Lonchura striata: one gene and its partners. The protein of the gene in region 3 binds, or shares a complex with, the protein of the main gene of each other region. Links are inferred from orthologs where the notes say so. Each region holds a gene or a part of one and is shown on either strand. Other genes may lie near its edges.

Region 1 (7,329 bases), on a different chromosome or scaffold from region 3:
TACGATTAATCAGTTGTAGTTTCAGGAAACAGGGTGTGAAAGGAAGCATTTTAAAACTTTACAGCAACAAATCTGCATTTGTATTTCACTGTGTATAGGTTTCCTCTAGTAAACAGGAAGCAGTTCAAGACTCTTGGCTTCTGGAGCTCTGCAGAGCTCCTTCTTTAGCATGACCCCCCCCAGTGAAAGCCTACACCTACCAACCCCTAACAAGTGAACACCAGAAACCACAGCAAACACCCCCTGGAAAGACTGGCCCAAAACTCCACCTCATGCCTAACCTAAAATGAGCCAACCAATGTCTACAAGATAAAAAGTCTCTTTCTCAAATTCTTACACTGTAACTTGTCACTATAACAAAATCCTCAGAGATGTGTCCCTCTGTGACTTGGGAAGAACAAAATTACTGTTTTTTACAGTGCTGAAACACTTCTGGATACCATAACGATGAAGAACAAGTATCAAACACTGAAGGAACTGAGACTCTACTGTAGAGCAAAGAAACAGTGAGAAAAAATTCCAGAAAACCCATGAGAACAATGCAGGCAGAGCCATCAAAAATGCATGCTGAAAAAGGGAAAACAATAAAAGCAGAAGAGATTCAGTAAGCTGATTTTTTTTCAATGGATGAAACAAAAATAACTTATCAACACAGCTCTCAACTATTTTACTTCATTGTCTTGCAGGAGGTTTACCCCTAGGAAAGGTAACTTTCACCATGGCTTGTGGCCTTACCTAGGACAACAGGAGCTTTCAGGGCTTCAAATAAAAACTAAACAGCAACAACAAAGAAAGAAATCCCACAAAGACAAATTCCTTCATGTTATTTCCAGAAAAATAACTCAATCAATAAATAAATACACTTCAACAGAGCTGGTCAAAGTTTTGCCTCCCTAATTTTAATTATTTCAGATAATTTTAATTATTTCAGGCCTGGCATGGGAGACAAAAGTTATACATACATGTTTCCAACTATCTTTCCTGTAATGATTTCAATGTCTCTTCAAATTGCATATATTATCTTCAAAGTCTGAAGTCCAAAAAGTATTTTTCTAGAAGACACACATATTAATTTCTAGAATGTGAAGTGTTCAGCACCGACAGGCTTCTAAGCAATTTTTTTACCATCAACAATTGCATGTCCTCCTGCTTTTCCTTTTTTCCTGAAAAAATGCAATTACTCTGAGCACAAAACAATTCCTCAGCATCAGCAACCAGAGAAAGTAAAGCCTAGCAATACTTGCCTGCTGTTTTTGATATGCAGTATTTGGATTTATCTTCGATTCTAACAGTAGTGAACCTGAAAAAGGTACGAAGAGAGATTTACTGAATCCAACAAAACAAACATCTCCACACACCTCGCACCAATGCCCACGTGCCAGCCAACAGACTCTCAGCTTAATCCAAATCTCACAGAAAATCCGTAAGAACCACCTCCTTTAAATATAATTTCCTAAAATAAGCCAGATAAGACAAAATTCAACAGGAAGATCCCTATTAAAATACATTTTTCTCTTCTAGTTTATTCCAAAATCCACTGTAGCACTCTTTTCCTTCTGAAATCTGGTGCAAGCACCAGATTTTTTAGTGGTCTTTTAGGCCAACTAATGCAAATTCCAGCAGGTAATGTGCTGCCCAGCATAAAAAATGCTTTTGTCCAGAGAAGCCACATGGGCCACTTGCTTTTATTCCCTTCAGCTGCCCTTCAGAGGTAAATCATCCAGCTACTACAAATGCAGGGACTTCATCTTGTGTATGCAAGTAGTGTATGTCTCCTGGCAACAGCTCTAGAGCAATTTATACTAATCTTAGGTGGTTTATTTAGCACATTAGCACCTGTCTGCTGACAAAGTGGGGAGCATATACCTCCCCGCTCTAAAAAAAGACCCTTTAAGGTGACTTTAAAGTGCAATAAAACACAAGGGATGCCACCCGACTGGAATACAACCAGGGAATTCCTGAGGAGAAAAAGGGCAGCAAAACAACTTCTTCACAGCAGTAAGAAATGGAAGACTAGAACACCTCAAAAGCAAAGGCTATTGCTCTGAAAGAGAACAAAATGTCCTCACATGTCACAGCTTCATCTCTGTTCAGGCTGGGGAGCTGCATGGAGCTGAGTCAGGGAAGGTTTAGGATGGACATCAAGGAAAGGTTCTTCCCCCAGAGGGTGGTCAGGCACTGCCCAGGCACTGCCCAGGCTCCCCAGGAAATGGTCCTGAGGCTGCCAGAGCTGCAGAAGCGCCTGAACAACCCTCTCAGGCACAGGGTGGGATTGTTGGGAGGTCTGTGCAGGGCCAGGAGCTGGACTTTGATGATCCTGATGGGTCCCTTCCAGCTCATAATTCTATCAACTGGGAGGGGAAAAGTCTAGGACCACAGTAGCAAACGCTGCTATGGCTTATGTGGTAAGGAAACTTCACGCGAGCTGCAAGACAAGGGAAGGCACGGAGAGTAGAAATAATAACAACAACAACAGTAATCCTCGTGCGTGATCCAAGGGAAGGCACTATCAGCCGAGCCCGGCGATGGCGGGCGGCAGCCCCGGCGGTGGGGCCCGAGCCGGGCGGGGGGCGAGGGGAAGCGGCCTGGGCAGCCCCGGCCACGCTCTCACCGTCTGACTCGGCGCGCACCAGCAGCGACATCCCCTTCAGCCGCTCCACGTAGCTGGAGGAGACGTGCCCGGTGCCCCTGTCGTCCCATTGCCGATCCTCGTTGAGCGTGTAGACCTTCACCCGCCGGCGGGTGTCCGACATGGTGCAGCCCCGGGCCCGCTCCGCCTCCGCGGGGGCGATGGAGCGAGGGCGGCGGAGAGCAAGCGGGGCCGCCGGGCCGCTCAGAGGCACCGCGGGGCCTTTAACGCGCCGCTTCCCATGGCGAGTCAGCGCCGCCGCGCCCCGGCCCGGGCCTTGCTGGCGCCGCTCCGCCTCGGCAGCTACTACAGCGCCGCCGCCATCTTGTAACCCGGCTCGGGCCGCCTTTCTCTTCCTCCCCGCCCGGGCACGGGTTCCCCTCGCAGGGGCTACGGCGGCCGCGCGCTGCCGCCGCGCCGCCGACGGGACGGCGGCCACGGGGGCGGGGCCGCGCGCGCTCCTTCAGGCGCCGAGGCGGGAACGGGAGGTGGGGATAAAATGGCGGCTGCCGACCGCCGCAGGGGATATGGGCGCATCACTTGCCTTTTAACGCCCTAAAGGGGGAATTGCTCACATATTCCCCCGAAAAAAACTAATTTTTTTAAAAAATTCTTCGTTTTTTTCTTTTTCTTTTTTTTAAGTCTGTCTAAAGGCTGGCGCCACCGCTGACGAAACACGCCTCCGTCCCTCACGCCACAGAAAGTGCCACCCACGGCCGTCACACAAAATGACGGGCGCGCTCCATACCCGACCAGGGTAAATTTAAACAGCACACAGAACTGAAACAGTTTCAATTTTTAGGAACAAAAGGTGTCCCCTGCATCACAAAACGGCAAAAAGTTAGTGAGCAGCAACTCCTTACAGCAGCAGCCATACTGTAACACGCTGTCTGTGCCTGCTTGGTACATCTCCACAGAAGGCTTGAAAGCTAAACTGCTGGGGAATCTTCAAAAATGAGAGAAACGTGCTTAATTAGCTCTTATACACAGCATACAGTTTAACACAGACCACTTGCCAAGCATCGCGGAGTCCGTACCTGTTAAGTTTTTCACACTAAAAACCATCTACACGTTTCCTCTGTACAACAAATAAATAATTACATCTCCGTGCTTGCGTGGGAATAAGGAAAAACGACCCAAAAGTTTTCAAGGAGTAAAGCTGTGTGAAACAGTGAGAAACTGGGGACAAGGGGAAGCTTGAGTGTGTCTCCAAACCAAATTCTTGAAGCTCTGAAGAGGAAGGAGGGAGGACAAGTTCTCCTGAGGGCAGGGTGTGCCTCATTCCCAGACAAAGTCAGACTTTCCTGGCTCTTGCCTCACGGTGAAAGCAGTTACACCGGTATGGCCCTTATTCACACGACTGGCATTTCTATGCTCTCAAATTCAAATGTGGCTCCAAAGCAAGCGAAAGAAAGTGCTTCCCAAACTATGTCCTCAAAGTAACTACCTGCAGCTTTTCCAAACATTCTCTGGGCAGATTAAAAAAACTTAACATCTAAGTAACATTCAAGTCTCAGCTTTTGCTCTGATGTTCATTGTAGCAGTCACCAAGAAAATACAAGATACAACTCTTAGAATTTTAATATACATTTATGTTTAGCTGTATAGGAGCACACCTTGGGACATGTGCATCATTATGGGTAAGTGAGTCAGTAACTATAAAAAGACCGTGTTAAGTGGTTTCAAAATCCTGGACTGAGAGTCACATGAACCAGTTTACAGTCAGGTTCCACACAAGCCTTCCTCACAAGGCATTACAAACTGAGCATATTTCTACCTTGGAGAAAGCTCAATAAAAAGCAAACACACAAATAGGAACACAAACCCCAATGACCACAACATATTTCTGCCTCAGGACATCTGCTGCTCATGAACTCCCTCTCCCCTCTGCATGACTTCTGTGCGTGCTTTTTGGCTCTTCAAATCAAATGCACAAAAATAAAAGCATGACTCCTACTAATGACTAAATGCAGCACTTCTCGGGATATATAAAACAGCAAGAAACCACAGCATAGTATTTTGGAGCAAATTCTTATGGTGAATTACAGAAAGGAGGTATGCGCATCAGAACTAGCATGAAAAACTATTTCTTACACTTCAGCTGTGAAATAAATCTATGATCTCTCCAGGCATGAATTCAATGACTTCTGTGGAAAATATCACTCCAGAAGTCATTGGGATTGTGCTCACTCAGATGTGGGGCTTCTCTCTACCCAAAACAGCATCCAGGGGGTTGTAAAGCCCAGGATGACCCTGCCATTGGTACCCAGAACCAGCAAGTCAATTCTGGGGGCCTTTCCTGGACAAAACATGCAATACTTGCCCCAACAAATGTTACATACTGCATTTAAACCCAGGCTAAGACCAGGAAAGCATCCAAGCCTCTGCTCTTTAAGACAAAGCAAAGCAACATTTTCCACAGTGCACCTGCCAGCAGCTCATCATCCCCATTACCACCATCAAGTTATCAATGCTGAGAATTCTCTGTTCTTCATCAAAGCAAAGGATTTCGTTAGGGTGGACAGAAGACAGAGCAACTCACAAGTGTCACTACATGAGCTGTGGAATGCCTTTTTTTGTTTTCCCAAGCAAGATGGGCAATTAATTCCTAAATAATTTAAAATTTCTTAGAGTGAAATTAAGAGACTGTATCATTCCCTCTGGCAGGTGATCCCAGAAGTACAATTAGGCCAGCTCTTACACTTTTATGATAGTACTTGTAATATATATTGTTGACATTTGAAGACACACCAGCTCCTGACTCTTTGCACTTGCACGAAAATTTCAGACTTGTCAAATAAAAGGCATTTCTGGCCCTCCTGAGCTGTTGCAATGCTGCACCTGCCCAGCTTCTCTCCAAGGCAATTTCTCTCAATGGCTCCATTTAAGACAGGTCATTACAGAAGCTAATTATGTTGAGCAGTAAGAAAGAAGAAATAAATCACTGAGCTTGTTCTCTTGAGCACTCTGGACTCACCTGGTTTCTGATCATAGCTGATCCCACCTGAGAGTCAAGCTCCTCCTGCCACGGCCCTGCACCGGCTCTAGGAGAGCCTGGGATGTCCTTCCCTCCAGGAAGGGTCAGAGCAGCACACGCTTACTCAACTCTTGGCTGCCATTGAGCTTCTCTCCTCAGGTAAGAGCAGCTGCTTTCTGCTCCTCCCAGCCAGCTCCCAAGTGTGCTCTTCCCCCGCCCCTTCCCACAGGGCCTAAAGCTGGTTCCAGATGCAGAAAGTCAGGCTGACTGTACAGGTTCTGCCACAGCAACATTAAGGTAATTTTGCTCCTTTATCATCATCCACCAAACAGACAATGCCCCAGCACTGCAGTAGCTGCTTTACTGAGACCAGCTCCACAACACAGCCTCTCAGAAATTAGTCTACAATAAGGGGAGATAAACCTTGGAAATCCACTTAGATTGGGGAGGTCCATTTCTGGGAAGAGTCACCAGAAATGGCAACATCTGAGTTTCTGTTCAGGGACTTTAACATTGACCTACATAATTTTATTAACACTATTCATATGTAACAATCATGTATCAGTCAACTGTCACAGTAAGAAGTGACATCTGAATTCTTACTAAGAAATAATAAGACACAGCCTTCAAAGAGGAAGAAAAGATTGCCAAAGAAATCTTTCGTCAATCTTTCCAAACTTTTTCTATTTTTCAATCTTACATCATGAAAGACAGGAACAACTACAGAGCAGCATACCAGTAATTTCTTTCTTTAATATTTAAGTTAGAATTAAAAAAGGAGTAATTTTTTACTGTACATTCCCACTTCTCTCCCCCATGCTTTATTTTTTCTTTCAGGTGGTTCAGAGCCCACCTGCCACCAGGTGGGAAGTTGATTTTATTAGTCCTGCATACAAATTGGTGAACATCAGAAGGACCCTGTTTGATTTTCAAAGTCTGTACCTCACAGTAGAAAAACGAGTCACTCTCATGAGCCCCTGGGAAATGTTTTGAAGTCTAAAATAAATCAGTGAACTCACTGATGCAATGTAATTAATAGGACTAAGAAATTCTTAATGAGAGTGTTTCAGGGAAAGATTTATCACATAATTGTTCATTCCAAAAAAAGTATTTTAATTTTAATGTTTTAATTATGCATTTTAAAAGTCAGTGCTAATGAACCCAGGTGATAAGGGGTGATGTTTCAGCCAAGTTCTGCTCACATATGCTGAGATATATTCTGCTACAGGTCTGAACATTTTAAGAGTGATGTATTAATCTAAAACAGAGTCCATCATGTTAAAGGTGACACTTCTAAGTCTTTATGACTTGCTCAACATTCTTGTGCACTGAAAAGCCAATAAAACTTTGGCCAAGTGTGACTCTTGACCAAGCATACAGGATAATTCTTTCTCCCACAGAAGAGTTGTTCAGTTCTTACTTCTCATATTCACAGTTTTGAGTGGATAACTCAAAGGAGAATAACCTTTAGCACTGAAATATCTTCTCAGTCTACAGAATTCCATGTTCTTGTATTCTCATCTCAACCTTGCTACACAAGATGAGGGCACTGCTTGCTCCTGGTTTTATTTTCAAGTTTTTAATCAACTTGAAGGCCTTGACGTTCTACATCACCTTTAAGCATAAATAAGTATCTATTTTATAAATATGATTTACTACCATCCACCTTCAGATTCTTGTGAGGACATGTAGAAATTCTAGCAAAGGTCACTTGTATTTTCAC
Region 2 (7,086 bases), on a different chromosome or scaffold from region 3:
TGGGAGTAAACAAAATATAAATCAAATTTTATGAGGTGTCTACACAAGCAAGTTAGAAAAGCTAGCCTATTACTAGAGTGGACATTTACTCAGGACTGATATTACCTACTATATAAAGAATTTTAACTGTATTATTCAATACTTTGAAGTAGAAAGTATGCAGTAGAGAGAGGTCTAAAGTGTATATCCTACCAAATAAATATCTGTGTATTTGGTGCAATTAGTAAGTTTGAGACATTTCCTGCTTTGATTAGAGTATCTTAGCTATGCCAGCTAAAGCAATGACTTAATTTTAGTTTTTAGTACCAGTCTGTATCTTCCCTCTTACAGATGCTCATTTATTTACAAGAGAGCTGGCACCAACAGTGCAACTCAGGTTTTAATGAGACTGAAGCACACATATCCCACTAAAAGTTAATAAATGGATTTTAGTTCAAATTAGCTATTTCTTTACAAGGAGGTTAGGAGCTGCAGGTCTTTCGATTTCTTTTCTAAAAAAGAATTTTTAAAATTTTTTTTAAAAAACAGAAAATTTTTAATATATAGGAGAGAACAGTTTTTAAACATGTCCCCAACAGCCAGGACAGTATCTACAACAACACATACTGTAAAAATTAGCAAAGAAAATTAGTGATAAATTTTTTAATTCCCTCCACATGTTGAAATTAAATTAAATTTATTTCCATTTTGAATGCTTTCTCTTGCTATATGAAGCTGCTCAAGATTTAAATGTATCTTCCTTGCTGTAAAATAAATAAAAATCAGGTGCCAGTGTAACCTGTTAAAGTATAATCAAAAATCTGTGAGATCCGAGAGCTTATCAGACACCCAATTATCAAAATCCTGCTTAGATGACTGATTTTTCCATATCAGTTTATGATCTTTGCTGTAAGCATTACATATTGTACAGTTTATCAGAACTTTCCCAAAAAGTAAGGATTAATGATTCTCAAGTTGCTTCTCATCCGACTTCCTACAATAAAAAAGCTTAATAAATAAAATTACAAGGTCTGTTGACAGTCAAAAGCATAACTAGATCTACATGTCACTAAATACAGTAGCTATACATCTAATGAAGTAGTAAGTCATGCATTGACAGACTTCAAAAGCAAAACGGTACAAGGCTGATACTGTGAAGTACACATTCTAAATCTCTGATCACAGCAGTCATGAACTCACTTAACCAATAGTCAAGACTAGCCCAAACATGTAGCTACAGGGCTATATTACTCTTAACATATACTCCTGACATATGCTACCAGAAACCAATTGCTGAAGGACTGAGTACTCCCATCCCATTAAAAAAAAAAAAAAAGGCATCACTGAAAATGCTGTTCTGCCCCTTGTATTGCCTTTACTACCATAACTGTACTTTGAAAACCGTTGATAGCTGTTAGAATGTCTTACATAATTCTAAAAGCTACCAAAAGGGCAAGTGGACACAAAAGGGTATTAGCCATCCAACGATCTTTTAAAAACAAATACTAAAACCCAAGATCTAAGTTTTGAACAACTTTCATGAGAGGATCACTTCCAGCAAGATCCAGGGATCAGTTTTGAAACCAGACCAGTAGATATCCAAACCCATGCAAGATTTACAAGGAGACTCGAACGCATTTTGCATGCAACACTGTGTACGCACTAAGTGCCTACTATGCTTACACTTGATGGCAATCTCCTGTTTCTTTCACTTGGCCTAGCACGAATGAACCCTGGTTAGTGCCTGCCTGCTTTTAGGAATACCATTTGAATTATGCAGCAAAACATTAACGCTACAAACACAAAGCTACACCCAGTTCCTTTCCTGGGCAGGACGAGGAAAGACTGTACCTTCAGCCGTACACTTACCATCACTCTCTGCCCTGACTAGCAGGGACATGCCCTTGAGCCTCTCCACGTAGCAAGAGGACACATGCCCCGTGCCTCGATCATCCCACTGGCGGTCCTCATTTAGCGTGTACACCTTCACCCTCCGCCGGGTGTCCGTCATCCTGCCGCCTGCCGCACCGCAGCCACCACTCTGGCTGGCAACCGCTGGAGGAGCACAAGGCTGCTCGGGGGCCAGGCCCCCCTCAGGGGAGGCGAGCGGAAAAGAAGGCAGCAGCCCCACACGGGCACGCCAAGCAAGCTCTTCTTACTCCTCTTCAGTGCCCCAACGGGATCCTCATTATCGAGGGTAACAAGAGGATTGGGGAAGAGGGAGAAACAAGAGGTGAAGATGTGAAAAGGGGAGCTGCTCCTTCAGGTACAGTCAGGCGCTGCACAAAAGGCGAGTAAACCTAGGCAGGGAGAGCCGCAGAGAGGAGAGAGGCTCTTTGCAGGGCGAAGGGCAGGCAGGAGAGGCGGCGAAGGAGGGACTCCGGAGGAGAAGGGGATCCACGGTAGTGGAAGCGGCGGCGGGCTGCAGCCGGCCCAGCGTGACAGGAGCAGGCGCTCCTGGAAGCCGGAGCCCTGCCGAGGAAAACAGGGGGGAAGCTGGTGAGGCCGGAGGGAATCAGAGGAAGGGACGCAGCCGGGAGCGGGGCCGCTCGCCCCGGCCTGTAGCCCGGCTCTATTGTGCAGCAGCAGCCCAGGCCCGAAGCCCCTCGCTCGCCGTCCGTCAGCGCGGGGCTCCAAGGAGCCGCCCTCCTTCCCGCCCGGGCTGCCCGGGCCTGCGGACACTGCCCGTCCGGGGACAGGGTGAACGGCCAGCCGAGCTCAGCGCCCCGTCTTCCCCATGGGCTCCGGTCGCAGGCGGCGGCTTCACTCCCAGCCTGACTCCGCCGCCATGTTCTTCTTCCTCCTCCTCCTCCTCCTCCTGGTGCTGCGGCGGCTCAGTCCCGACTCCCCAGCGCGCCTTGAGATGTGGCTGCGCTTCCAGGCGTTCGGCGGCCCGGCCAGCAGAGAAACGCTGTGCCCTGCGGAGGGAGGGGGCGATCGGCAGCGGCTGGTGCGGCCCGGCTCCCTCCGGCTCCGCCTCAGTCAGTGCGCGGCCGCCATCTTGGTTTCACCTCTCACTGGAGGCGCGGGGTCTCCCAGCCAGCGGCAGCACGGGCCGCCCGCCGGCATTTAAAGGGCCAGCGGCCCCGCGCGGAGGACGCGCATGCGGCCGTGGCAGCGCCGTTACCGCGGGTCCGGGGCTGGCGCGGCGGGCCCCGGAGTTGACGTTTTCTTAGACTTTTTTTTTTTTTTTTTTTTTTTTTTTTTTTTTTTTTTTTTTTTTTTCTCTCCTGTCACATCTTGCCGAGTGATCCCAAAGTTAAACGGCTTTTGGTGAATATCTGTTGGATCTCCGCAGTCATAGATGGGATAAAAGAATTCCAATATCAGAAGCTGTCGAGGCTTGACGGCTGCTGCCAATATCTGAGCATATGTTTGACAGATTTCCCTAAAATATGTGAAAACGCTGGTGCATTTGGGACCCGGCAGCGCCACTGCAGAAGAGTCCATTTCACACTACCTTATAGATAGTCACTGTACATGGGAGCTCACTGCAATATGTACTCTATTATTTTATGCCTTTGAGTAAGTCCTGATACTCGTTTATCAAAGTGAGTTGTATTGAGGGTGGTTTGAGCCCAAACAACACATTTGCAGCTTTCACCAGGATTAATTATGTATCACAAGGAATCCTCTAGTCAAGTCCTGTTTTCCTTTGTCCATCTTCTATTTTGCTTGGCCTGTTGAAAGACAATGCCAGCAGGATTGATAGGCAGCTTCCTGAGCAAGATCCCAGGGTCACAGCAGCAGCCTGGCAGAGCTTGAGCGTTGGACAATGCTCTCAGGCACATGCTGTGGCTCTTGGGGTGGCCTGTGCAGGGCCAGGACTTGGATTTGATGATCCTGATGGGTCCCTTCCAAATCAGAATATTCTGTGGTTCCTGAAGTGCCCAGACACAGCCATTTGGCCTTTGCTCTGATGCCCAAGGGCTGGTTAAGAATACAAGAACCTTTGAGAGGGTTGTTTGGGTGCCTAAGGACATCGCTGAAGGCGCGCTGTGCTTGTTCTCAGCGCGGTGTTCTTGGCCAAAGCAGCGACAGGTTTGAAGAGATTCAGGTGTCCGGGAGCTGTGGCTTGTGGGCCTGGCTGAAGGGGAGCACCGCACAGCACGCGCACAGGCCTGGGCAGCTCCTGAGGGGCTGTTCCTGGGCAGCTCTCAAGGAGCTGTATCTGGGCAGGTGCTGTGCCAAAATCTCCCTCAGGCCAACCTGGAGATGGATTTTTGTGACTTCAGAAAAGATTGATGTCACTTAGAGAAAACTCTTGTAGGACTGTTATATTAACGTACCATTTACAAATTGTACCCTCTTGTGGCCATCAGATTAAGTAAAGACCGCACTGCTCACTGCAGTTTTTTTTTTTAATTTTTTGTTTTTTTGTGAATTGAAAACAAGAACTTAATCAGATTTCAGTTTGCATGGTTTGCTTAATGCAAATTTTGGGCTCAGCTTCTTTTAATGGGCCTTGAGTTATCTTGAACAACTGAACAATGCTCGATCCGACAATAGTGCCTACTTGTCAGGTTTTAACCCAGTTCTCATTATATTTGGCAAGGGAGTTTTATTTTTCCTAACATTTCTACCCCAGTCATTCCAGAAAAAAAGGTTGGGCATTGAGAGCAACTTCCCATGCTGGAAATTAGCTGGGAAAGAAAGAAACATTCTGTTTATTTTTCTTGGAATAATGAGTTTGAAAGCAAGTCTGTCAGGTCACACCTCAATGCCTTCTCTCCATTTCTACTCGTTTGAAAGTTTGTGTCTAGAAGGAAATATCTTCAGGCATGAGGAGAGGCTGTTATTAACACTGAGTTTAAATGTTTAACCTTTTTAGTTCCCAGAAATAATAAAGGACCTAGCCCTGACAGAAACTTTTGCCCATCAGGAACCAAGTAATAAATGATGAAATGGAATGTTGAATACTGTTTTAAACTTTCATATTCCTAGGAAAGTAACTATACATAGATCAATGCAATAGGAATAAGCCTAAACTGGGTTTACCATAGTAAATATGGGATTACCATATTCTTGCACAGCAGTCAAGAATAAAGAACAAGATAACTTTTTTTTTCAGTGTCTAGTAATAATTTTGGGAAAGAAAATTGCATTGTTATTGTGAATAACTTCAGGTCACACATATAAATTTGGTTCTATATACTAAGGCATTATTAGAGTTCCTAAAACTCTTAGCTAACTATTTTCTAAAAGAAAAAAAAATGTTAGGGAAACTAACAACTTCATACTTTATTATGTATAAATAGAGTATAAATAAAGTATAATTCATACTTTATTATTATATACTTTATTATGGTGAAGATTATTGCTAGAATGAAAGTCTGTACTTGCTTGAGTATATAGATCTGGCTATACTCAGTATGTGCAAACAAGGTTACAATCCATACTACACACACGCAGACACTCTCTATGTCTTCTTGTTCCCAAGGCATGTATTCTGACTTGTGCCCCAAAAACCTGTGGAAAATGAATGACTGAGTGCAAAGAAAAAATTAAATGGAAAAATTATCATAATAGGGGGAGGCTATAAAGAAGATGTCTGTACAGGAGTCAGAATATTGTGATCAAGAAGAGGGGAGATTCAGAAAAAATATATTTCTAGTTTAGTGGGGAAGAAAACAAAGCAGTTTAAAATAAATACATACAGTAGACAAAAAGCAAACCTAGCAATCATTACAAGTTATGAAGCACAGAAAAAATGGATAAGGATTTCAATAAATTTGCATGGTTGGTAGTTTTAGGAACAGCTCATGTTTCCTAAATCTTAACACTCTTATAGGCCTGTTATATCAAGATTTTAAAAATGTTGATATTGCTACCAAAAAAATGGAATTGTTTAATAAATAAATTTTATACTTGAAAGAATGTGCAATATATTTGTATCATACAATGATGACTAAGTTCTTTCCTAGTCATTATTTAGAGGGATATTAAACAATTTCTCTTAGAGAGAAACTTATTCAAGTATACAAGTCCTAAAAAACTTGAATTTGAGAGTCCTAAAGAGGCTTGTGTGTGTGATCTCAGGAAGTATGAAACATTATTAACTTTTAATAAAGCTTAAATTATTGCAGAAATTCTGGAAGACATGAAGACTGACTATTAGTATTCAAACTGAACAAGTGAGAACCCAGGTAATAGTAGGCTGATTTATCTGACATCAGTCACAGACAATAAATGCTCACACAGAATGCAATAAAGATGGGCTTATAGCAGTAGCAGCTGATGTGGCTTTAGCAAGAAAAATTTAATTTATTGTTAAATTACAATGTTGCTCATAAGCGTAATGGAGCAGATATACATGGATAGTTCTCAGGTATTTTTCTGGAAAGTTAAAATTGTATTCTGTGAAGAAAGCTCACATTGCATGGGTCACATTTGAGGTGACTGGTATAGCTCAAAAGGAATTATTGATCTGTGGAGATGATCCTAGATGATTGTGAGAAATCAAGAGCAGGACTGATGGTAGTTAGGATTTCTTTTAATGTTTGGAAAGTCAATGTAAAATCTCTGTGCATAAAAGCTGTGTATGACTCAGAGAGCCTGGAAGAATGGCAAGAAATGGATGAGGCTATAAGGGTCAGAAACAGAAAGCTTCACTTCCTGAAGGTGCTGATGTAGAAAGAATATCCTAGCCTGGGACAGCTGGGAAGGTTACTGACAGCTGTTTCCGGCTTATTCCAGCTTTACAAATGTTTGTGAGCTCATCAGTGCCTCCCAGTAATTTAAGGCAAGCAATGACACTTTCACATAAAATTTTGAGCTGTAAATAGTGATTGTTCAAGACCTGATGGATAAGCAGCTCAGGCAGTCAGGCTGTGGTCCTAACAGGACCTTTCGGATACAGCCAAACACAGGGTCACATCTATGGGAATAAATAGTAAGGCAGCTCTGAAAGAAGCAAGGCTGCATAATAAACAAGCAACCAAACACAAACTTCTGATACTGCTCTGGGTCTGTAAGATCCTATAATATGCTTTTTGGACAGATTGTAAACTAGCACACTGTGGAAGAATGTAACATCAGGAATAAAAGTAGCTTTAATGCCACATTCTATAATTCTGGTGTCCTCATGGTTAACAAATTTTAAGACAT
Region 3 (7,767 bases):
TTTGCTTGTAAATTAATGCCAAGAGCCCCGGCAAGCTCCAGGTGCAGCCTTATTTTCGCACTAGGTGGGTATTTCCTAGTTTTAAGAGGTTTGATCATCACTGAACTTGCCACAGAATTTGATGCTGACCTGGAATGATATTAGGAACCCACAAGACAAACTTTATATTAACCAGGCTCTTTCGCAGCAAATTTAGGTGTTAATTTATTAATGGTTGGCATATTGTGTGTTTAAAATCCTTCTGCAAGGCCTTATCTGAGAGCAGTGGTAGCAGAACTTTAATGCTAAAGTCACCAGGTTTGCCAGTAGTCACCAGCTCAAACTCTTGCCCAGGAAACAGCAAAAATTAAAAAAAAAAACAAAAAAAAAACCAAACAAAAAAAAAAAACCAAAAAACTGAGTGATGCAGTTAAAAAGTTTTGTAACCATAAGAAATACAGATATATAAAAAAACCCAACCCAAACCAAACAAAACTCCACCCCCTCCAGTATTTTTATTGGAGAGGGAAAAAAGAACAAGAGTAGGAAAGGGAAGGGAAGGGGAAAAGAGAAGGAAAAGGGAAAGGAGAAGAAAGGAAACGTTTCCTGGTGAACACCTCTTTTTAGCAGAAATGCTTTAGTATATTTTCAAATGCATATTGACTGTAAATGCCAGACTTCAGCCACTGGGTTTTCACATGCTTCCATACATATTAAAGTTATGTGTGTGCTTCTGTATGTATATGTATCTTAAGCTGTATATTTACTTATGGGCCAAATTTGGTCAAACACTCTGTAAAGAACAAAATGGCAGTCCAGAAAGCAAAGAGGGAATGGTTGAACCATCAAGGACAACACATGCAGGCAGATGGAATCCTGGGGGTGGCCAAGAAGACAATGAGTCAGGATTACTCAAGAGGATAAGCAGCTGCCTTGGTGCACCAGCAGTCTAACCCTGATCCATTTCTTGATAGGCTTCACAGGAAAAGAGTTTCACAGAGAAATCCAAAGGAGGATGGAGAGATGTCTGCAGATATTTATGGGAAGCTCTTCCCACACATGAAGGTAGCCTGGGAGAAATGCAAAGCAAGTTAATACATGGACACTGAAAGCTGACACTATCTGATCAGACCTGCTTCTTCAAGCAAATGAACAAAAATAGATAATACCTTAGATAATAAATAAAATAACATGGGTGAGTTCCATGTGGAGCAGTGTTTTTGAGCCTGAGGTCCTTAGAACAGTTTTAAATGAAAAGATGTCACCAATCAAACTATAGAATAACTTACTGCAAGTATGTCTAGGTGGATGTCGGGTATCTTGTGTACAATGTGCAAGTATGAAAGGATTTATATAGTACTTTATGTAAATACTACACTTTATGGAAATGTCTTGCTGATTGCTATGGACTTTTTTGAGATACATCCTGGAGATAACAATACAGGTGTCTTTTATCATGTGCAAAGGATCTTGTCAAGGAGTCTTCCATTTGTATCCTTCCATCCCTAGCTTGAAGCAGTGGTGTAGTGTTTGTAGTGTGGTTTTTCCTTGAGATAGAGTGTGAGAATGTGAATTTATCATTCTTCAGTTCTTTACTTCCCAGTGCCTGTAAGGGTACTTAAGCTGACTATAAGAACTCCAGCAAAGTCTGCTGGAACGTTTTGGTAGGTACTATATTATGTGCTCCTTAACAGGTCTCGTCTAAGAAAACAAAGCTGTCATGAAAAATTTTTTCCATAATTATGTGTGCTGGTTTGGAATGACCCCTCATCTGCAAGAGCCAGAATGTGTCCTACACTTACAAGGCTCTCTGTCTGCCTCATCTGTGACCAGTGGCAGGGAATCTTACCATCAACTTGAACTTTGGATCAGGCCCTTGAAGAAGTACCTCTGGATTTACTGAGGACAAGTTTAGAAGAACCTGGTTACTTATTTATTAAATGGGAATGTTCATTGCGTCTTGGTGCTAAGACTTTTTTTTTTCTTGTTTTAATTAAATTATTTTCCCCCACCATGAGTGTTGTGACTGTATGAGCCAAAGGTTTTGACAGAGTTCCTACTCACAGAGGGAGAGACCTATCCTGATGGCTCCTAGTGATGGTGCTGTGCCTGAGGAGCAAAGTCTAATGCTGTAGAGGTAACACCAAGCACAAAATCCCCTGCAATTCCCGGACAATTATAATCTGTAGCACACTGATCCTTGTTATCTGCGCTATTTAAATACCACATGGTCCTGCCGACAGAGAAAGAACCAATGACCACTGAAGATCACAAGCACATAGGAAGTAATTTAAAAGTAATTTGTGTGATCTTATGTTCAGTATGACTGCTTGCAACTGTCATTGCTTTATTCAATAAATTATACATCCTCTCTTTAAACAAATACATAGAAATTAAAAAAAATCCTAAATACTCTAGAGTATTATATATGGAGCAGTAATTAATTGATGATAATTAACACTATTAATACATTTTAAGAGCAGAAATTCTGGTCATTGTAAACCCAGTGCTCACAGATGTATCTCATTAAGTTTTCCTTATGATAATAACTCTAATAATGCTTAAGGTAACTTTGATGCTCTCAGATCACAGTAATCTATGGCTTGTGAGCATTAGTGCCTTTTCCTAAATGGTTAGAAAAAGGAGTCAGACCCCCTTGATTCATTCAGTAAAATGAAGTGCATCAAATTATAGTTGTGAGAGAGATTCTTAGATTCACTTCTACTGAATTCAGTGGGAGCAAAACTGATTGTAGTGAACGATGCAGAGGAGATGTGAGAAAACTTCCTGGAAATAACTTGCAGTTACAAAGATAATAAAATTATGTCTTGAAGTACACCTTCTGTTTTAAGTCTACTTTTCTGTTTTAAGTCTACTGCTATCTTACCTAGCATTGCCAGAGATTTGTGATGTCAAATATTTCTCCTGAATCCCTTCTTAAATTACACTGGCAGAGAATAGCATGGTTCATATAACTTAGTCACGGTGAATTTACTTGATTTACTCAGTATTTTGAGGTTATATATCTGAACAAAAGAAAATGTTAGATAATCAGTATCCAGTAGGTCCTAGTGGCTCATCCAAAGATTGAACAGGTGTCAAATAGGACAGAGCTTATTCTACAGGATTGTAAGGAAAGAGATGTATGGATTTTAAAAGAAGATTACACATTTTCATTCACCATGGCAAAGAGAATGAATGACTATGGAGATTTAATCCTTGTACAATTCACCAAATAAAACAAAAAATTGTTAAAAAGCAGCTTACAAGACATACTATCAAACACACAGTTAAAAATAGTGCTAATGATATTGCATCTTTTTTTGCAAGCAAAAAAAATTATTTTGCTTTTCTTTATTTTTGCTTTTTGTGTATTAACAACTTCATCAGTTATTATGGAGGTTCAAAACAAGACTGTGGAAGACTCAGGTAATATGCCCACATAGCACTGGTACCAGTAATGGTCCTTTCCTCTATCAAATGCCCAGGTTATCAACTGAATAGAGCGTTTATTTCATCCAATTTACAGTGTGGAAAAATCTATTAAAACAGTTGAATGAGAACCATCAGCAGTGACCAAAAGGTACAGCCAAAAAAGCAGAAAGGCATGTGCACCTTTGTGTCTATGTACAACTAAACTGCCTGTTTTTAAAGCAGAAGTCGGAAGGCACAGTGCTGCAGTGGGGCAATATCCTGGGTGTTCAAGCCATGGGATCCCAGCTGCAGAAACTTGGCAATTCACATGAGAAGGATGCTCGTGGGCTACGCAGTGGTGGTGGCACAGCTGCCTGTCACAGAAGCATTAGGGTTGGAAAGGACCTCTGGAGACCATCTGGTCCAAACCCCCGCCAAGCCACGGTCACCTGGAGCAGGTGAAGCAGGAACACATCCAGGTGGGGTTTGAATGTCTCCAGAGAGGGAGACTCCATGACCTCCCTGAACAGCTTGTTCCACTGCTCTGCCACCCTCAGTGTGAAGTTCTTCCTCATGCAGAGGTGAAACTTCTTTGTTTCAGTTTATGGCCATTGCTCCTCAACCTGTTACTGGGAGCCACCCAAAAGAGTCTAGAACCATCTTCTTACCATCTGCTTTTGAGATAGTTATATGCATTAATGAGAACCCCTCTCAATCCTCTTTTGACTAAACATTGCCCGGCTCCCGCAGCCTGTCCTATGAGAGAGGCTGCAGACCCTTAATAATCTTTGTGGCCCTCCACGGAACCCTCTCTAGGAGCTCCTTGTCTTCTTTGTACTGAGGAGCCCAGAACCGGACACAGCACTGCAGATGCGGCCCCACCAGCGCCAAGCAGAGGAGGAGGACCACCTTTCTGACCTGCTGGCCACACTCTGCTCTCTGGTAGGTCCCGGAACCCTTCTCCCCAGGTAACCCCAGGCGCCGGCGGCAAGAACTACTGCGGCCCCGCCACCGCGTCTGGAAGCGACCCCACAGTGACCAGGGCGAGGAGCACCGTCGGGGCCCTTCCTCCAAGTGGCCCCACCAACTTTGCGCAGCGGAGCCCGTCGGTGGGCGGCAGGAGGAGCCCGAGCCCCGAACTGGCGGAGGAGCGTGGAGGGCAGGTGAGCGCGGGCCGGGCCGTGTGGCCGAGCCCCGGCGCTCTCCAGCCCCAGGGCCGGCGCGGGCGGCTCCGGCCGTGAGTCAAGCGCGCCGAGGGTAGGCGCGGCCGCCCGAGCGAGCAGCGAGCGAGAGCGGCTCCGCCGGGCGGAGGCGGGGGCAGCGTGTCCGGCCCAGACCCCTCCTCCCGCCTTCCTCCGCCCGCTCCCTCCTCTCTCCCTCCCTCCCTCCCTCCGTGCGCGGCTCTCCCGGGGACGCGGAGAGGCGCCTCCGGGCCCAGGGCCTGGACAGCACGGGTGCCCGCCCTCTCCCACCGCCGCTCCCACCGCCCGGCCGCGGGCTGGATGTAGCCGGGCGCCCCGCGGGGGCTGCAGCAGCAAGATGGCGGGTAGGCATCGCCCCCCTCCCCCTTCCCGCACACGCCGCCTCCCCGGCGAGGCGCCAGCCCTCCCTCCTCTATCCCCCTCCTTCTCCTCTCCCCCGCCCCGGCTTCGGGAGCGCTGCCCGCCGCTGTCCGGGCTCGGAGCGCAGGGGCTGCGGGGCGGGTCGCTCGGGGTGGGGGGGGGGCGCAGCCGCGGGCGGGGCAGGGTCACGCGTGGCACCGAGGGTCGGCGGGAGCACTGGCACATGGTGCGCGCGTGTGTGTGTCTCCCCCACCGCAGATCTGTCGCTGCTCCAGGAGGACCTGCAGGAGGAGATCGACGGATGTGAGTGGGGACGGGGGGAGCGGCGGGGCGGCTTTGGGGCGAGGAAGTGGCTTCCGCGGGGAGCGCCCAGGGTGCATTGTGGGAGGCGGCGGGGAGGAGGAGGAGGAGGAGGAAGCCATGGCCATGCTCCGCGCTTGGCGGTGTCCATGACCCGGTCCCGGTCGCGCGTGGGGCTGCGCCGGGCGGTCCCGCGGGGTGCGTTGGGCGGCGGGCGGGGCGGCGGCGCCGTTAGCGGCCGCCCCGGAGGGAGCGAGGGAGGGGGACGGAGGGATGGAAGCAGGGGAGGCTCTGCCTGCGGGGCGGCGTCCCTTCACGGCCCGGGCACGGCGTCCCCTCACGGCCCGGGCACGGCAGGGCGCCGGCGGGGAGGAGCAGGAGGAGGCTAAGGCTGCTGCCTCTGCAGCAGCATGTGGGTTGCTCGTTCCTTTTATATCTCTATTTGTATATCTTTTTTTTTGTGTCCCCCATCCTTCCTTCCCTCCACCCCTCCCCCTCAGGCTCTCTCCTCCTTGTGAAGGGTCTGGAGCACATGTCCTGTGAGGAGCTGGGGGTGTTTAGCCTGGAGAAAAGAGGCTCAAGGAGGGACCTTACTGCTCTTGGCATCTCCCTGAGCGGAGGTTGTGGCCGGGTGGGGGTCGGTCTCTTCTGCGGGGAAAGCAGCGATAGGAGAGAGGACATGGCTTCAGGCTGTGCTGGGCAGGTTCGGGTAGGACACCAGGAGGAACTTGTTTTCAGAAGGGATGCTTAGATACTGGAATTGACCGGCTAGGAGCTGGTGGAGTCACTGTCCCCAGAGGTGTTTAAGGAAAGTGGACGTGGCGCTCAATGGCATGGTCCAGTCGACAAGGTGGCATTTGGTCCCTGGTTGGAGACGACGATCTCTGAAGTCTTTTCACACCTAAATGATTCTGTGAATCCTGACCCTGCTGGAGAGATCTGGGGAGAAGAGTTAATGTCAGGGTGCAAAGTCGTAGAATTGTGGCTGGGGTGGTGCAAAAATTAGTAAGTCAGGGCTGAGTAGCCTTAGCATGGCAGACTAAGATGTTACTCAGATGAGAAGGTGTCTGTTGAGCGTGTAGATACTGAGGGAGCTTCTTGGAAGCAGAGGAGGATGAATTTTGGGTGCAAAGTGAAAATGGAGGTAGAGGCAGGCGCCTGCTGTGGGTGTGCAGACCCCCTGGTTGCTGCCTGAAGGTGTTTTGTTGGCTGTGCAGTCTGCAGGGCATCCTCTCACCGGGGCTGGAGTACAGGAAAAAAACTTGTGTTTTGTGGCTTACATTTTTAGAGAACAGCTATTTAAACTTTTCAGGATTTAACTGATACATCTTCTTTTTCACATTTGTCAGCTGACATTTAGAAGGCTCCTATTGTGCTTTGCCTTGCACAAAGAGGGAGCCTTTCCCTCAGGCTGCTTTTTTTTTTTCTAATTCAGCGTGATAAGTCGCTGTTCGAAAACTCTCTGTGATTATAGAGGACTTTTTCAGAAGAGTCACACTTAACAAAAAAATGAAATGCATTCTTAAGTTTCCACTTAGATTATGGTTTTAGTTGACTATAAGACAGTAGTTGAAATTATCTGTAGTCCTTGGAGGGGTGACAGAAGCTGTGGGTTCCTGGTGCTGGTCTTACTCTTACGGTCTTCAAAAATGGAAAAAAATGAATACTTCGAGATATGACTCAGTCCAGATGAGAGCATCCTGAAGGCAGAAACCATAGAAATACAAAGATTTGAAACCTCATTAAAAATTACTGAGGTTTTGATGGAAGTAGATAAAAGCAAATGTCTCAATAATTATGCATGGTATTTTTGGAGGAAAAAAAACAGGACTCTCTATGAATCAATATGTGCTATTTGGATGTAGTTCAGTCACACAGTGACTTTTATGGTTCTAAATTATACATAATTCTGTTCTTGGGTGGTGTCTGTGTGCTAAAGAAAAATAAGATCAAGGAGACTGTACATATCTAGTCAAAAGTACTGTTTCTTGTGCAGTATTATTTTAAATAGCTATGTTTTGTACCCATATACAACATCTTTTGCACAATTTCCAGTTGATTGGTTGCACATATGAAACAGACAATTAAATAAGACACAAAGTTTTAGCTCCTGCTTGAACCCTACCCTACACTATTCCTCTGTTGTAAATATTTTAAATGTTTGCAGCTCTTTCAAGTAGCAGAGTTAGACACCAGTTTAGCGGTGTATTACTGAAGTAGTAGAATGCATTCTGCTACTGAAGTAGTATAACACTAAAACTGAAGTGCTGGCAGCTTTTATGTCTGTGTCATTCTGCCAGCTGCATTCTTGCTAAAAGTGTACTAAGCTATACTTAAATAAGAGAGAAATACTTGCAGGCATACCTGTGGTCCTGGTTGTGTAATTTAGGAGGAATTAGATAAATACAAAATAGTATGATTGATTGACTGGCTATTTTGAAAAGTGAACTATGTTCTCAGTGCATTTTTTGGGCTTTTAAGGGATCTGATATCAAGCAATATTAAGACATCT

The links.
Region 1: PPP4R1 (region 3) and PPP4R3B share a complex: the UniProt entries of both Homo sapiens proteins name them as parts of the PP4 complex. The link is inferred for Lonchura striata from reciprocal best matches to the Homo sapiens genes PPP4R1 and PPP4R3B.
Region 2: PPP4R1 (region 3) and PPP4R3A share a complex: the UniProt entries of both Homo sapiens proteins name them as parts of the PP4 complex. The link is inferred for Lonchura striata from reciprocal best matches to the Homo sapiens genes PPP4R1 and PPP4R3A.

What each region holds. Positions count from the first base shown.
Region 1 is NC_134605.1:27,037,250-27,044,578, reverse strand, and holds the start of PPP4R3B (serine/threonine-protein phosphatase 4 regulatory subunit 3B), read right to left. Parts: upstream 3,002-7,329; 5' UTR 2,754-3,001; coding exon 2,612-2,753; intron 1,301-2,611; coding exon 1,245-1,300; intron 1-1,244. UniProt on the Homo sapiens protein: Regulatory subunit of serine/threonine-protein phosphatase 4 (PP4). May regulate the activity of PPP4C at centrosomal microtubule organizing centers.
Region 2 is NC_134608.1:16,529,678-16,536,763, reverse strand, and holds the start of PPP4R3A (serine/threonine-protein phosphatase 4 regulatory subunit 3A), read right to left. Parts: upstream 3,002-7,086; 5' UTR 1,991-3,001; coding exon 1,849-1,990; intron 1-1,848. UniProt on the Homo sapiens protein: Regulatory subunit of serine/threonine-protein phosphatase 4. May regulate the activity of PPP4C at centrosomal microtubule organizing centers.
Region 3 is NC_134603.1:51,770,923-51,778,689, reverse strand, and holds the start of PPP4R1 (serine/threonine-protein phosphatase 4 regulatory subunit 1), read left to right. Parts: upstream 1-4,767; 5' UTR 4,768-4,932; coding exon 4,933-4,939; intron 4,940-5,213; coding exon 5,214-5,258; intron 5,259-5,353; exon of another isoform or gene 5,354-5,404; coding exon of another isoform or gene 5,405-5,453; intron 5,454-7,767. UniProt on the Homo sapiens protein: Regulatory subunit of serine/threonine-protein phosphatase 4. May play a role in regulation of cell division in renal glomeruli. The PPP4C-PPP4R1 PP4 complex may play a role in dephosphorylation and regulation of HDAC3.